Linked DNA regions of Saccharomyces cerevisiae S288C. The protein of the gene in region 1 binds, or shares a complex with, the protein of each later gene. Each region holds a gene or a part of one and is shown on either strand. Other genes may lie near its edges. The genes, in order: RPC25, RPC19, RPC82 and RET1.

Evidence for each region.
Region 2: RPC25 (region 1) and RPC19 share a complex: the UniProt entries of both Saccharomyces cerevisiae proteins name them as parts of the RNA polymerase III (Pol III) complex.
Region 3: RPC25 (region 1) and RPC82 share a complex: the UniProt entries of both Saccharomyces cerevisiae proteins name them as parts of the RNA polymerase III (Pol III) complex.
Region 4: RPC25 (region 1) and RET1 share a complex: the UniProt entries of both Saccharomyces cerevisiae proteins name them as parts of the RNA polymerase III (Pol III) complex.

The regions. Positions count from the first base shown.
Region 1 is NC_001143.9:175,307-178,339, reverse strand, and holds RPC25 (DNA-directed RNA polymerase III subunit RPC25), read left to right. Parts: upstream 1-1,858; coding exon 1,859-2,497; downstream 2,498-3,033. Other genes in the region: ribosome biogenesis protein LTV1, read right to left, coding at 168-1,559; proteasome regulatory particle base subunit RPT1, read right to left, coding at 2,724-3,033. UniProt on the Saccharomyces cerevisiae protein: DNA-dependent RNA polymerase catalyzes the transcription of DNA into RNA using the four ribonucleoside triphosphates as substrates. Specific peripheric component of RNA polymerase III which synthesizes small RNAs, such as 5S rRNA and tRNA.
Region 2 is NC_001146.8:410,942-413,711, forward strand, and holds RPC19 (DNA-directed RNA polymerase core subunit RPC19), read left to right. Parts: upstream 1-1,829; coding exon 1,830-2,258; downstream 2,259-2,770. Other genes in the region: YNL115C (uncharacterized protein), read right to left, coding at 1-1,112; DEAD-box ATP-dependent RNA helicase DBP2, read left to right, coding at 2,698-2,770. UniProt on the Saccharomyces cerevisiae protein: DNA-dependent RNA polymerases catalyze the transcription of DNA into RNA using the four ribonucleoside triphosphates as substrates.
Region 3 is NC_001148.4:916,577-920,834, reverse strand, and holds RPC82 (DNA-directed RNA polymerase III subunit C82), read left to right. Parts: upstream 1-1,793; coding exon 1,794-3,758; downstream 3,759-4,258. Other genes in the region: QCR2 (ubiquinol--cytochrome-c reductase subunit 2), read right to left, coding at 348-1,454; SKI complex subunit tetratricopeptide repeat protein SKI3, read right to left, coding at 3,873-4,258. UniProt on the Saccharomyces cerevisiae protein: DNA-dependent RNA polymerase catalyzes the transcription of DNA into RNA using the four ribonucleoside triphosphates as substrates. Specific core component of RNA polymerase III which synthesizes small RNAs, such as 5S rRNA and tRNAs.
Region 4 is NC_001147.6:729,464-734,995, reverse strand, and holds RET1 (DNA-directed RNA polymerase III core subunit RET1), read left to right. Parts: upstream 1-1,538; coding exon 1,539-4,988; downstream 4,989-5,532. Other genes in the region: tyrosine protein phosphatase PTP2, read right to left, coding at 1-1,071; mRNA-binding ribosome synthesis protein NOC2, read right to left, coding at 5,352-5,532. UniProt on the Saccharomyces cerevisiae protein: DNA-dependent RNA polymerase catalyzes the transcription of DNA into RNA using the four ribonucleoside triphosphates as substrates. Second largest core component of RNA polymerase III which synthesizes small RNAs, such as 5S rRNA and tRNAs.

The DNA.
Region 1 (3,033 bases):
CCTCCTTCCTCCACCCCCTTTCTCCGAAATCCACAAAGAGCACCGCCGCGTTTCATAATTATTACCCGGTGGGCAGGATGTATTTTAGCATCAATGCATTCTAGGCTAAGTATACATGTCTACACAGTACTTGTAATGTAGGTGCTTTCTCATCTCATTCTACTCCTCTAAAATTTTAAGCTGCTTAGTGTATTGGTGACCTTCTCAAGTTTCTTTTTCTCTTGCCTTTCACGATTTCTTCTCTGAGACAGTTTACCTTTGCTTACTTCATCAGCAGCTTCCTTCAGCCTTTCAATTTCTTTATCTTTCTTAGCCAGTTTACGGCCACCACTCTCCAGTTCGTAATTGTCCAAAAAGTCATCAAGCATTGACTCAAAATCAGATCTTTCTGCTGACATGTCAAATGGTTGGTAATTTTGTTCTTCGTCCTCTTCTAGTTCTTCCTCATAATTTTCGTAACCATTGATGATTTGATCGTACTGATCATCCAGTACTGTCATCGTCTCTGTACGCGCAATGGCACTTGAACTCATGGAAAATCCAGATACATCTGACATGGCACCCTTTTTTTGACGGCTCTTTCTTTTCTTCTTCCCCGTCTTGCTTTTGTCTTGGATAGAGGGCAATTCGCCCAGCACATCTTCCTCTTCAGAGGGATTTACACTGTCTAAACCTGCATTAGAAAATTCATCATCCGAGTTATGCTTTTCTAGTATAGAGTTATCTTTTTGAAATCTTCGAACATCAGCTTGATAATCGATATTTTCCAAGTCCTCCAGGTTTTCGATGTTATCAAATTGCGCCATTTCCTTAACGTAGTTTTCATCTTCAAAATTTTCTACATTATCAATATCCCACTCATCAAACTCATCCTCGAATTCGTCTTCATCTTTTGCTTCACCGCTCCCTAGTAATTGTGCGAAAATGTCATCTTCCTTTTCTTCTTCTCCATAGTTATCGCCTTGAAGTTGTGTCTTTTTGCTGATGTCTTCAACCACAACATCATCATTAACAACATATGCTTCATCTTCTAAAGCTTCAAGCACCTCTCTTAATGCAGGATTCATATCAGGTTTGAAACCTCTAATTTCATCGGTGGTATCTTGTTGGTGTAGTAAATATTCTGGCTTTGCCATCCCTCTTTGAAACACAGGTAGCGCGTCATCCTTCTCAATTTCATCACGTCTATACTTAGGTTCGATGAATAAATCTTCAATGTTTTTTTTTTCGACCTTCTGTTCATTGCCTTTGGATGCTATAAAGATGGAGTTTTCAGGGTCGAGACCTATTGGCTTCAAATGTTGAGTATAATCGTATTCAGAATCATCAAAATTAATACCATATAAAGCTGCTTCTCCCACATGAGCCCTCCTACCCTTTGGTTTTGTTGAACTCACGTCTTTTTTTCGAAGATCTGCTTCTGGAGAAGTTTTATTTGGATTGGAGACAGGAACCAAAACGTGCGCAGAGGCATCTGTATCATAAAATGAAGGATCATCATGGGGTCTGTGTACCACCACGTACCTTTGGGAGTTTTTAGAGCTAAATTTCTTCGACATCTTCGTGCTTTTTATATTCCCCTTAAAGTCTTTGAAATACTATACTGGTTGCTCGTAGGATTCGGTAAGAACCCTGATTTAGATGCTCATAATATTCAGGCGATGCTCATCGCTTAAAATTTTTATTTGACAAATTTTCAGTCGCGTTATACGGATTAGTTAATTTCGTATCATAATAACGAATATTCAAGCCATGTGCAGAAATAGACGCAAGAAGCGTTATTCGGAAGAAACTATCGGGTAGTATAAAGACATTCTGTAGTACTATTTAAATTAGAAAATTCATTGAACAAGGTAATATGTTTATCCTTTCAAAAATCGCTGACTTGGTACGAATCCCGCCCGATCAATTCCATCGCGATACAATATCGGCAATCACACATCAGTTAAATAATAAGTTCGCCAACAAGATTATTCCCAATGTCGGTCTATGTATTACGATTTACGACTTATTAACCGTCGAGGAAGGCCAATTGAAGCCAGGCGATGGATCATCCTATATTAACGTTACATTTCGAGCCGTTGTTTTCAAACCGTTTCTAGGTGAGATAGTAACTGGATGGATTTCTAAATGTACAGCAGAAGGCATAAAAGTTTCACTGTTAGGTATATTTGATGACATTTTTATCCCACAAAATATGTTATTCGAAGGGTGCTATTATACCCCTGAAGAAAGTGCATGGATTTGGCCCATGGATGAAGAGACGAAACTATATTTCGATGTAAATGAAAAAATTAGATTCAGAATCGAAAGAGAAGTTTTTGTTGATGTGAAGCCAAAATCACCCAAAGAACGAGAATTGGAGGAAAGAGCTCAATTAGAGAATGAGATTGAGGGTAAGAATGAAGAAACTCCTCAAAACGAAAAACCTCCAGCATATGCCCTATTAGGTAGTTGTCAAACTGATGGCATGGGACTCGTTAGTTGGTGGGAATGATAGATAAGGACGCCACTGACTTCAATAAAACATTTAATAATAATAGTAACAGTAATAATGAGGATAATAATATATAATAAACGTGAATTTTCTTTAGCATTATATACGCTAATTCTTTCTCTATTTGAGGGGATACTCTCGTATCCTTTTTATCTCGATAGTTGTAGTTGTACTTGTTGTTTTTATTAACCCTTCTCATAATATATAATAAAAAAGTACATTGACGTCAATTATATTGCATATAACGCGATGTGGAACTAAACTTCTTGTATCCGCTAATAACTTTATCAACAGCCTTCAGGAAATCCTTTTCAGTAGCCACCTTTCTTCTTGCTCTAATGGCAAACATACCGGCTTCTGTGCAAACAGATCTTAATTCTGCACCGGTAGAGTTTGGACACAGTCTGGAGATAAGTTCCCATCTGATGCCACGTTCCACACTCATTGATTTAGAGTGAATACGGAAGATATTTGCACGACCTTCCAAGTCAGGTAATGAAAACTCTACCTTACGATCAATTCTACCGGGTCTCAAT
Region 2 (2,770 bases), on another chromosome or scaffold:
TATAGTTCCTCAATCCAGGTGGCAGAAAGGTAACCAGTATCATAACCTCCGTGTTCAAACAAGATGATAGGTTGCTTCTTATTTTCAGACAAATCTGTGTTGTTTTCTTGATCAAATACGTCACCATAACAAGTTATATGCAACTGATAGGTTTTAGCGGCATCTACGTAATGGAACGCCTCGTACGAGGGCGACTGAACGGTTATTGGTAATTTGTGAGTCAATCTGTAGGTATCCAATGTCGTTAAAAGTGTATTCAGGGTGAATAAAGCGAAGAATATTAAAATTAAAAACTTAATAGTATTCCTGAACCCAATGGATACCCATTCTGTCAATGTATGTTTGTTTTGGACCAGCTGCGAGCGGTGGGTGGGGGTTGGCGACCCAGAGCCATATTGGCTTCTGTCCCTGTTTTCGGTACTATTTGTATGGTTTTCGTTGAAAGTACTAATATTAGCATCATCAATTCTGCGTTCCTCCAATGGCTCATTTATTGAGTTGTTGTAAAACAAGAGATACCAATCTAATATTGCCCCAATAAAAAATGAAAACGAAGTCCACAAATATGTAAACGTGCCCACAAAGCCGATTCTTTGCCTAGTGTATTTAATTAGATAGGTCAATGCTAGATTGAACAACGTCAAAACACAGAGAGTTACATTTAAGCTGTAATCTAAAGCTGAGTACAGTCCCAGCTTATTAAACCAGAGATTGAAAGAATTAGCTATGATCGAGATGAATATTAAAGTCAAGTCGTTAAAACTTGCGTACCTGTTACTGAATCCGAAAAGAATATTGATATTGAAAAAGAAATCTGAAATCAAAGTGGTGACTAGCCAGATGGTGTTAATTAGAATTAGGATATTTAATATCCATTTGGAGTTATGAATAAAGATTCTATAACCTTTGCGAATTTGAAAGAGACTATCTTTGATGAACCCATCGGATTCAATGTCACGACCTTCATTAACTGCTGGGCCATTCGCGGATCCTGCACCAAGGGTCCGGTGGTTGTTGTTCAGCAACGGTTGCGCTTCTGGGTGTTCACTATCTATATCTGTTCTTTCCATTCCCGTCCTTGCCGGATCATTATCTAAACCATTAGCCTTCATGATCTGTTCGCTCTGATGCCTACAGTTCTTTCTTCAATGGCTTTCCTTTCCTTTCCTCCTTATAGAATATAGCAAGGCATCTAACTTTTAGTTTTTCTCTCATCCCTTTAAACTGCACGATGGTTAAAATTAGGGGTCCGAATAGCCTTGCAAGGAATAGATTAAAGAACACTATATATGCATAGCCACTTCAAAACGTGCTGAGAACATGCCATCAAGGTTGACCAATACGATTGCTGATTCGACAACTTCTACATTACATAGGCATATACATATCAGAAAAACGTGCTTTATAGGTACATTTTTTAATTCCTTAAACATAACTTGCTTCTATTTTGGGATAGTTCCTTTTCTTTGAACTACGTTTTTTGGGCAGAAATATAAAAAAAAACCGAAAAAAACGGCACGCAAGAAAGCTTATTCAAAAAGACGCAACAATATCATAGATTATTCTAAGTACCAACAACGTGATAAACTTTGTTCTAATAAAGCTACATCTTATCTCTTCTGTACAGCTTTATTGGGGTGAATCATATTTACTTCAATCCGGGTAATGGTAAACGTAACAAGTGATAGAAATATTCACCTGCGATGAGCTGGAAAAAAAAAAAATTTCAAAAGAAAACCATACTAATGCTGAGGTATAAAGTAACGAATTGGGGAAAGGCCATCAATCCAAAGTCGGAAAAATTGAACTTCACATAAAGTACCAGGCAAATGACTGAAGACATCGAACAAAAAAAGACCGCTACAGAGGTAACACCACAAGAACCAAAGCACATCCAAGAAGAAGAAGAACAGGATGTTGATATGACTGGCGATGAAGAACAGGAAGAGGAACCAGACAGGGAAAAAATTAAGCTTCTCACACAGGCAACATCTGAAGATGGAACTAGTGCCTCTTTTCAAATTGTAGAGGAGGATCACACGCTTGGAAATGCCCTTCGTTACGTTATAATGAAAAATCCAGACGTAGAATTTTGTGGTTACTCGATACCTCATCCTTCTGAAAACCTATTAAATATCAGAATTCAAACCTACGGTGAAACGACCGCGGTGGATGCTCTTCAAAAAGGGCTAAAGGACTTGATGGATTTATGTGACGTTGTAGAATCTAAGTTTACTGAAAAAATCAAGAGCATGTAGATGTTACGGATCGACTCAAAGACCCTCTGTCACTCTGAAATTTCTAATAATTATGCACACCACGCTAGTATAGATACAGCTTGATTTGTGTATCCCGTTTATAGTCGTGCTATTTAAAATCTATGTATAATATAACCAGATAAAAATACACCTTCGTACAAGGTGCTAATAATGTTGAGAATTCGAAATTCCTTTTTAAAGGCGTATTCCGTATTGAATGATTGAAAAATTTATTTCTTTTTTTATTTCTTTTTTTTTTTTTTTTTTTTTTTTTTACGCCGATGCTCATCGCAGAAAATTTTTCCTTCAGTTTATTTGTCTTATAAAAAGACTGTCCTACGCTCAAATAACTTATACTTTTCTGTATCTCATTCAAATTATTTTCTTGTCAACAACCTGTAACAGAATTAAGCACTATTAAGGCAAATTTAGAGCAAATATGACTTACGGTGGTAGAGATCAGCAATATAACAAGACTAACTACAAGTCTAGAGGTGGCGACTTCCGCGGTG
Region 3 (4,258 bases), on another chromosome or scaffold:
TACATGCCTTTCTTTTTTTGCCAGGATCGTGAGATGAGACATAAAATAACGTACCACTGAAACTTGACAGAATTGAGGGGTCTAACTATAAACCTGCGGCAAAAGAAGGATTGTATGCTGAAGTAGAAAAAAGGATAATTAAATATATATTTACTAGTATAGTAAGAATTTGGAAAGGGTAAGGAATAAATAATGAGGGATTTTTTTTTGGTCTTACATGTTGTTATTTGAATTTTGTTTGTTTTTATTTTCAATATTTGTGTGAATATTCATTAAAAAAAAGGTGCGCGGCAACATCTATATATATATTTGCCTTTAGTTTTTCGTTTTGTACAAATACTTTCCTCTTACAATTCGTCCAAATATGGCAAGTTGGAAACATCACCGACGGCTACATAGTTGAATTTTCCCAACTTAAAGTCCTTCACGGCGTCAAAATTTAGTTCAATTGGGCTGGAAACAGATTCATTTTGGACGGCATTCTTTAACTTTGTGTAATTTATTGCAGGGGATAAGTCCTTGCCCTTCTTCAAATCCGCAACAATTTTCTTGATGTTGGAAGATACCACGGCGCTGTCCTGGTCTCTTACAAACAGAGTAAATAGGCCGCCGTCAGTGAATTTATCAAGTTTAGCCGAGCTGATTAAACCGGAAAGCTCGGATAGGGCAGAGGTCAAATAGTTGGCCAATACTTCATATTGAGCTAGGGAGGCTTTGTTTACCGGGATACCAATGGCGGCAACGGAGTCACCGATAAACCTTACCCTGTTTTCTTCACCCAAAAAGAATTTTGGTTCGGATTTACTCACCAATGACTTACCTGCAGGCAAAGTGCTTAACAGTGACTCGTCAACAAATCTTTTCAAATCGGCCTCAACAACATTTTCACCGCTAACTTCAAGGTTCTCCTTGGTATAGACTTTGTCCGCAAAGTCCTTGATATCTTGCAAACTGACTCTTTCCACACCATCGTATAACAATGGGTTTCCTAAACCCTTTCTGAATGTAATGGCATACAATTGGTCTTCGGCGCTCTTTACCGGACATTGTTCAGCGACCGCATAATCGTATCTAGCAGCAGGCAAAACAGATTCGGTGAGCTCGTGAGGTTTGAAGGCAGTCTTGTATAGCACGTCTGCTAGGGCATTGACGTAGTAGGGAAGGTCGTCCTTCAAAAAGGTAGCTTTCAAAGTGATGTATTCCCTATCCAAGGTAGACTTAAAAGTTCCCCCTAATAATTCGGATTCTCTGACTAATTTCAAAGCTGATCTAGTGTTCGTGTTTTGAAAGTTGAATCTGTTTAAAAGATGGGCCACACCATCCTTGGTTGCATAACGAGACCCTCCATGGACCTTAACAGCCAATGTAGATATTTTAGTAGGTGCGTCTCTAGCGGAAACGGTCAACCTTCTAACTGACCCCTGGGCAAATTGCAATCTAGCTGCTGACAACATCAACGTTCTTCTTTTTTCCTTTTAATAATTTTAACTCTCCCGTCCTAATCGTTCGAGCACACTGCTGTTAAAAACCTTATTAACTTCTAAAACTTCGTCAGCAAACGCTCTGAGGAAAGGCCCTTGTTCTTTATATATATATTTGGTAGGCTAACGGATATAAGACGGGGCGGGCCTTCTATTGGTTCGTTGGGAATGATCAGAAATTTTTCAAAAGCTCATCGCATTGAAGGAAAAAAATAATTTTGGATCAAAATAATAATAGTGGAAGAAATATTGAGAACAATAGAGAATTGCTGACACAGGAATAGGGAAAAATTTTTGTTGAGCAAGATCCAAATGGACGAGTTACTGGGAGAAGCGCTTAGTGCAGAGAACCAAACAGGTGAGAGCACTGTCGAATCTGAGAAGTTGGTCACCCCCGAAGATGTTATGACCATATCATCCTTGGAACAGAGAACCTTGAATCCCGATTTGTTTCTTTACAAAGAGTTGGTGAAGGCACATCTGGGTGAAAGAGCAGCTTCTGTAATTGGGATGTTGGTTGCGCTGGGCAGATTGAGTGTGCGCGAGTTAGTGGAGAAAATAGATGGTATGGATGTAGACAGCGTCAAGACGACACTAGTCTCATTAACTCAATTAAGGTGTGTTAAGTACCTGCAAGAAACAGCAATATCCGGGAAAAAAACGACTTATTATTACTATAACGAGGAAGGGATACACATTTTACTCTACTCAGGGTTGATTATTGACGAAATTATTACGCAAATGCGTGTAAACGACGAAGAGGAGCATAAACAGCTGGTGGCTGAAATTGTACAAAACGTTATATCATTAGGGTCCTTAACAGTGGAAGATTATCTAAGTAGTGTCACGTCAGATTCCATGAAGTACACCATTTCATCACTATTCGTGCAACTGTGTGAAATGGGATATCTTATTCAAATATCAAAATTGCATTATACCCCAATCGAAGATCTCTGGCAATTTTTATATGAAAAACATTACAAAAATATTCCCAGAAACTCCCCGTTGTCCGATTTGAAGAAAAGATCCCAAGCCAAGATGAATGCGAAAACTGATTTTGCCAAAATCATAAATAAACCAAATGAGCTTTCACAAATCTTAACGGTTGATCCAAAGACCTCATTGAGGATTGTTAAACCTACAGTCTCTCTGACGATTAATTTGGATAGATTTATGAAAGGTAGAAGATCTAAACAATTGATTAACTTGGCCAAGACAAGAGTCGGCTCCGTCACAGCTCAAGTTTACAAAATTGCATTAAGACTCACAGAGCAAAAGTCTCCTAAAATTAGAGATCCACTAACTCAAACTGGGCTTTTACAAGATTTGGAGGAAGCAAAATCGTTTCAAGACGAAGCCGAACTTGTTGAGGAGAAGACACCAGGGCTTACCTTTAATGCTATTGACTTGGCAAGACATCTCCCCGCAGAATTGGACTTGCGTGGAAGCTTATTATCTAGAAAGCCCTCTGACAATAAAAAGCGTTCTGGCTCAAACGCTGCTGCATCATTACCCAGTAAAAAATTAAAAACCGAAGATGGATTTGTGATCCCGGCGCTACCTGCTGCTGTTTCCAAATCTCTTCAAGAAAGTGGAGATACACAAGAAGAAGACGAAGAGGAGGAGGATTTGGATGCAGACACTGAGGATCCTCACTCAGCTTCTTTGATAAATAGTCATTTAAAAATCCTAGCATCATCAAATTTCCCCTTTTTGAACGAAACCAAACCAGGTGTTTACTATGTTCCATATAGCAAACTAATGCCAGTATTAAAGTCATCTGTTTATGAGTATGTTATCGCGTCTACGTTGGGACCCTCAGCAATGCGTTTAAGCCGTTGTATTCGTGATAACAAGCTGGTGTCTGAGAAAATTATCAACTCAACTGCGTTAATGAAGGAAAAGGATATAAGATCTACATTAGCATCTTTAATTAGATACAATTCTGTGGAAATCCAGGAAGTTCCAAGAACAGCCGATAGATCAGCATCAAGGGCAGTTTTTTTGTTTAGATGCAAAGAAACGCATTCCTATAATTTCATGAGACAAAACTTGGAATGGAATATGGCAAATTTACTTTTTAAAAAGGAGAAATTAAAGCAAGAAAACTCTACATTATTAAAAAAGGCAAATAGAGATGATGTTAAAGGAAGAGAGAACGAACTACTATTACCAAGCGAATTGAATCAATTAAAGATGGTCAATGAAAGAGAGCTAAATGTTTTCGCTCGTTTATCGAGGTTGCTATCGCTTTGGGAAGTTTTCCAAATGGCATGATTACTCTATACAGCTGATAAACTCTGTCTAATAACCTTTTATACTCTATAGAAAAGATAAAATTTATTACTAATGTTACATTAAGGTTTGATTGACTATCTCGAATCCAAATTTTTAGAAACATTCGTTTAGCGCCTTCACTGCAGTAACGTTCCAAGGGCACAAAAACATACCTCTTTGTATGCTTCTCAAATTCTTACTCTCACAATATAGTTTACTCATCTCCTCCGCAGTAACTTTATTTTGTCCATTAGAAGCTATTCTTCGTTGAATATTCTTATCTAATCTCTCCCAAACCTTGAGGTTATTAGGGAAAAAGTACGCACTCCTTTGCCATACTTGTTTACCGGTATCGTTACGATAAAGTCTCTTAGTAATTTCTTCTATCAGATATGGTGCGTCTTTGTGCTTATCTATTATTTGTTTGGATAATGGCAAAGCTTTCAATTCTTCTAAAATAATGCTTAAATCTTCACGCTTATCGTCTAGAATTGACATAG
Region 4 (5,532 bases), on another chromosome or scaffold:
ATACTGTCGTTGCAAACTAGTTAAAGAATATAATTTTGAATCATCCGTGGATTGCGGACCCCTCTGCTTTTGTGATAGCTGCTTTTGATGTAAAGGCTTTTTCTTGAATTTCAGGCATTTCTCTAATCTTTGCATTTCAAAATTTTCTAAAGTTTCAAAATTGTTAAAGAGTTTCTTTAATATTACCTTTTCATTTTCTTTTACGGAGCAGAATTTTAGCCAATTCGGTAAAATCGTGTCGTTAGGTGCTAAGTCAGCAGGCATATTGAATTGGAAAAACTTTTGCAAAGAATTAGGAGAATAATGAATTAGATCCTTTTTCAGAGACTGTAAAAATATTTTATTTGAATCATTGGGTGGAGGTATGTTTATTCTTAAATTTAAAGTTGACCTTGAAGTTAAGTTTACATTCAAGTTCAAATCCAATTTGGGCAAGATGCAATTTTTCTTATTTTTTCCTAATGAGGGGGCCTTGCTATCATTCAGAGAGCCTTCGAGAAGAAAGAATTTCAAATAAGGAGATGGAAAAAAATGGCAGATGAACTTTTTAAACTTCTCAATGAGGCAAAAAGTTGTCTTTAAACAACTCGAAATTCTGCTAAACGAATCACTGAAAATGAAAATATCATAATCTTTGATGATCTTTGTGAACTCAATATACTTTTCATCAGATCCAAGGTAATTCTTTAGTAAGTTCTCGAACGGGTAGTTCGACCTTTTCACCAAAGTGCTGGGTAGCGGCAACGATAAAACTGTGATATCCTTAGCATTGGTATTGCCTAAAAATGAGTTGGTATTGGGGCCAGCGCACAGATCTAGTAAAAGTATTTTAGAATGCCTATTAGAGTTGTTCCGCCGTATGTTAACGTCGTCCAAATCTTTGCACGGTTTAATTTGATTTTGGGGAAGGTTAGACAGATTTATAGTTTCACCTCTATAGACGGGCATTTGACCAGGTGTTCTAGTTTGATTGACTTGTATGTGGCCCTTTTCCGATATAGCGGAAGAAGCCATTCTATTGCCGTTATTGTCTCTTTTGCCATTACGATATTGCTGTGCTATGCGATCCATCAATAGCAACGTCGATCCTATTTTATTGTAAACTATTAATAGCACTGGGGATCGGACCTAGGCTTCCAAACTAAGCGAAAAGGGCTGTGCAAAGCGGAAGAGGGGAACCAGGGGAATCGGGTCTGTCAGGTTGAGTGATCTCGTCTTTCTTGTCAAAGGTCGCAGCGCGGTGTTCAAAGAAAGATGATGATTCAAAGTTGGCACTTCCCAAAGGTTTTAATAGGTGCATTATTTTTATATATTCCTTATTGTTAGGTGTACTACACATAAAGATATAAATAGTTCCATAAAGCAGGCGCGTATTTTCCAGATCACGTCGGACGAAATTGTAATTGTGAGATGAGCTGAAAATTTTTCGATCTATGCTTAAGTGATGATATATGGACAAGTTAGGAAAGAATTAAAGGGAGTTTAAAGTGTTGATAATTGAGCGTTTTAATCGCTAGGGACTTAGTGCTTGTTGAAAAATGGTTGCTGCGACAAAAAGACGGAAAACTCATATACATAAGCATGTGAAAGACGAGGCTTTTGATGATTTATTGAAACCAGTATATAAAGGTAAGAAACTAACTGATGAAATCAATACTGCTCAGGATAAGTGGCACCTTTTACCAGCATTCTTGAAGGTTAAAGGTTTGGTGAAGCAACATCTTGACTCATTTAACTACTTCGTTGATACAGATTTAAAAAAAATTATAAAGGCAAATCAATTAATTTTGAGTGATGTTGATCCAGAATTCTACCTGAAGTACGTCGATATTAGAGTGGGTAAGAAGTCCTCTTCTTCGACAAAAGATTATTTGACTCCGCCTCATGAGTGTAGGCTTAGAGATATGACATACTCTGCACCAATCTACGTGGATATAGAATACACTAGAGGTAGAAACATTATTATGCATAAAGACGTGGAAATTGGTAGGATGCCGATCATGCTGAGATCTAATAAATGTATCCTATATGATGCTGATGAATCGAAAATGGCTAAATTAAACGAGTGTCCGTTGGATCCTGGTGGTTACTTTATTGTTAACGGTACCGAAAAAGTAATTCTTGTTCAAGAACAATTATCCAAGAATCGTATTATTGTGGAGGCAGATGAGAAGAAAGGCATTGTTCAGGCCTCCGTTACTTCATCTACCCATGAAAGAAAATCTAAGACTTATGTCATTACCAAAAATGGCAAGATCTATTTGAAGCACAATTCCATCGCTGAAGAAATTCCTATTGCTATTGTTCTCAAAGCCTGTGGTATTTTATCAGATTTAGAAATTATGCAATTGGTTTGCGGTAATGATAGTAGCTACCAAGATATTTTTGCAGTCAATTTGGAAGAATCTTCGAAATTAGATATTTACACACAACAGCAAGCTTTAGAGTATATTGGTGCAAAAGTAAAGACAATGAGAAGGCAAAAACTGACTATCCTGCAAGAGGGTATAGAGGCCATTGCTACCACGGTTATTGCACATTTGACTGTGGAAGCCCTTGACTTTAGAGAAAAGGCTTTATATATTGCCATGATGACGCGCAGGGTGGTGATGGCAATGTATAACCCTAAGATGATTGATGATAGAGATTATGTTGGTAATAAACGTCTTGAATTAGCAGGCCAATTGATTTCTTTATTGTTCGAAGATTTGTTCAAAAAGTTTAATAATGATTTTAAACTAAGCATTGATAAGGTCTTGAAAAAACCAAATAGGGCTATGGAATACGATGCATTATTGTCAATTAACGTCCATTCAAATAACATCACCAGCGGACTGAACAGAGCTATCTCAACCGGTAATTGGTCTCTTAAAAGATTTAAGATGGAAAGAGCGGGTGTTACACATGTTCTTTCCAGACTATCTTATATTTCCGCATTGGGTATGATGACAAGAATTTCTTCTCAGTTTGAAAAATCAAGAAAAGTTTCCGGTCCAAGAGCATTACAACCTTCTCAATTTGGTATGCTTTGTACTGCAGATACTCCAGAAGGTGAGGCGTGTGGTCTAGTGAAAAATTTAGCATTAATGACTCATATTACTACAGATGACGAAGAGGAACCTATAAAGAAATTATGTTATGTTCTTGGTGTAGAAGACATAACATTGATTGACAGTGCATCCTTGCATTTAAACTATGGTGTTTATTTGAATGGTACTTTAATTGGTTCAATCAGATTCCCAACAAAATTCGTTACTCAGTTCAGACATCTGAGAAGAACAGGTAAAGTGTCGGAGTTTATCTCAATTTATTCAAATTCTCACCAAATGGCAGTTCATATTGCAACAGATGGTGGTAGAATTTGTAGGCCATTAATCATTGTTTCTGATGGTCAATCTCGCGTGAAAGATATTCATTTACGCAAATTATTAGATGGTGAGTTAGATTTCGATGATTTTTTGAAACTCGGATTGGTGGAATATTTAGATGTCAATGAAGAAAACGATTCTTACATTGCATTGTATGAAAAAGATATAGTTCCCTCGATGACACATTTAGAAATCGAGCCATTCACAATTTTAGGTGCTGTTGCTGGTTTAATTCCATATCCACATCATAACCAATCCCCTCGTAACACATATCAATGTGCGATGGGTAAGCAAGCGATTGGTGCAATCGCCTACAATCAATTCAAGAGAATAGATACATTATTATACTTGATGACTTATCCACAACAGCCAATGGTGAAAACCAAAACAATTGAATTGATCGATTATGATAAATTACCTGCTGGTCAAAATGCTACGGTTGCTGTCATGTCCTATTCTGGTTATGATATTGAAGATGCTTTGGTTTTGAATAAGTCATCCATCGATAGAGGTTTCGGCCGTTGCGAAACACGTAGAAAGACAACCACTGTTTTGAAAAGATATGCGAACCATACCCAAGATATCATCGGTGGTATGAGAGTTGATGAAAATGGAGATCCTATCTGGCAACATCAATCTCTTGGTCCTGATGGTCTAGGTGAGGTGGGTATGAAGGTCCAAAGTGGACAAATTTATATAAATAAGTCAGTTCCAACTAACTCAGCAGACGCCCCAAACCCAAACAACGTAAACGTCCAAACTCAATATAGGGAAGCTCCGGTAATATATAGAGGTCCAGAACCTTCTCACATTGACCAAGTTATGATGTCTGTTTCGGATAACGATCAAGCTTTAATCAAAGTTTTGCTAAGACAAAACAGAAGGCCAGAATTAGGTGACAAATTTTCTTCTAGACATGGTCAAAAAGGTGTTTGTGGTATTATTGTAAAGCAAGAAGACATGCCCTTCAACGATCAAGGTATAGTTCCAGACATTATCATGAACCCTCACGGTTTTCCATCTCGTATGACTGTGGGTAAAATGATCGAACTGATATCGGGTAAAGCTGGTGTATTGAATGGTACATTGGAATATGGTACTTGTTTTGGTGGTTCTAAACTTGAAGATATGTCTAAGATTTTGGTAGACCAAGGTTTCAACTATTCCGGTAAGGATATGTTATATTCAGGTATAACAGGTGAGTGTTTACAGGCTTACATCTTTTTTGGCCCCATTTACTATCAAAAGTTAAAGCATATGGTCTTAGATAAGATGCATGCAAGAGCTCGTGGTCCAAGGGCTGTTTTGACACGTCAACCAACTGAGGGTAGATCTAGAGATGGTGGTCTGAGGTTGGGTGAGATGGAGAGGGATTGTGTAATCGCGTATGGTGCTTCACAATTGCTGTTAGAAAGGTTGATGATTAGTTCAGATGCTTTTGAAGTTGATGTCTGCGATAAATGTGGATTAATGGGCTATAGTGGTTGGTGTACTACCTGCAAAAGTGCTGAGAATATTATTAAGATGACTATTCCATATGCAGCAAAACTGTTATTCCAGGAATTATTATCCATGAACATAGCCCCAAGATTAAGATTGGAAGATATCTTCCAGCAGTAAGAAATCATATATCTTGTACTAAATTTTGCGTTATGTTAGCAATCATATCTATTTCGTGAGGAACTTTAAGAGAGTTGAACGATTTCGAAAATTATATAACAGTAAACCGTACTTCTTTCATTTTTGTACCTTGCTTTACATCATTACTTTTTATAAGATCCATCGAACGTTTGACGTGTTTTCTATCCATAAACCGGCCAAAATATAAAAATATCCAGCTGACAAGAGAAAGCTTGGAGTGCTCACATGTTAGCACATGTGAGCACAATGATATATACGCTTTAAAAAAGACTTTTCTTTATTTTACACATTTATAGACTTAACTATTGAATTCAAGACAAAAAATCAAATCTTGCTGAGTTGTTAAGCGTCTGACATTTCAACATCTTCGTTGTCATCATCACTTTCCAGACTGTTTAATAATTTTGCTTCTTCTGTTTCTCTTTCTTTGTCTTGTTCTTCCATACTTTCTCTCATTAATCTGGCCTTTTCTTCCTTAACTTCACGTTGTACTGCAACATAAGAACCTAAAGGTGTTTTATTC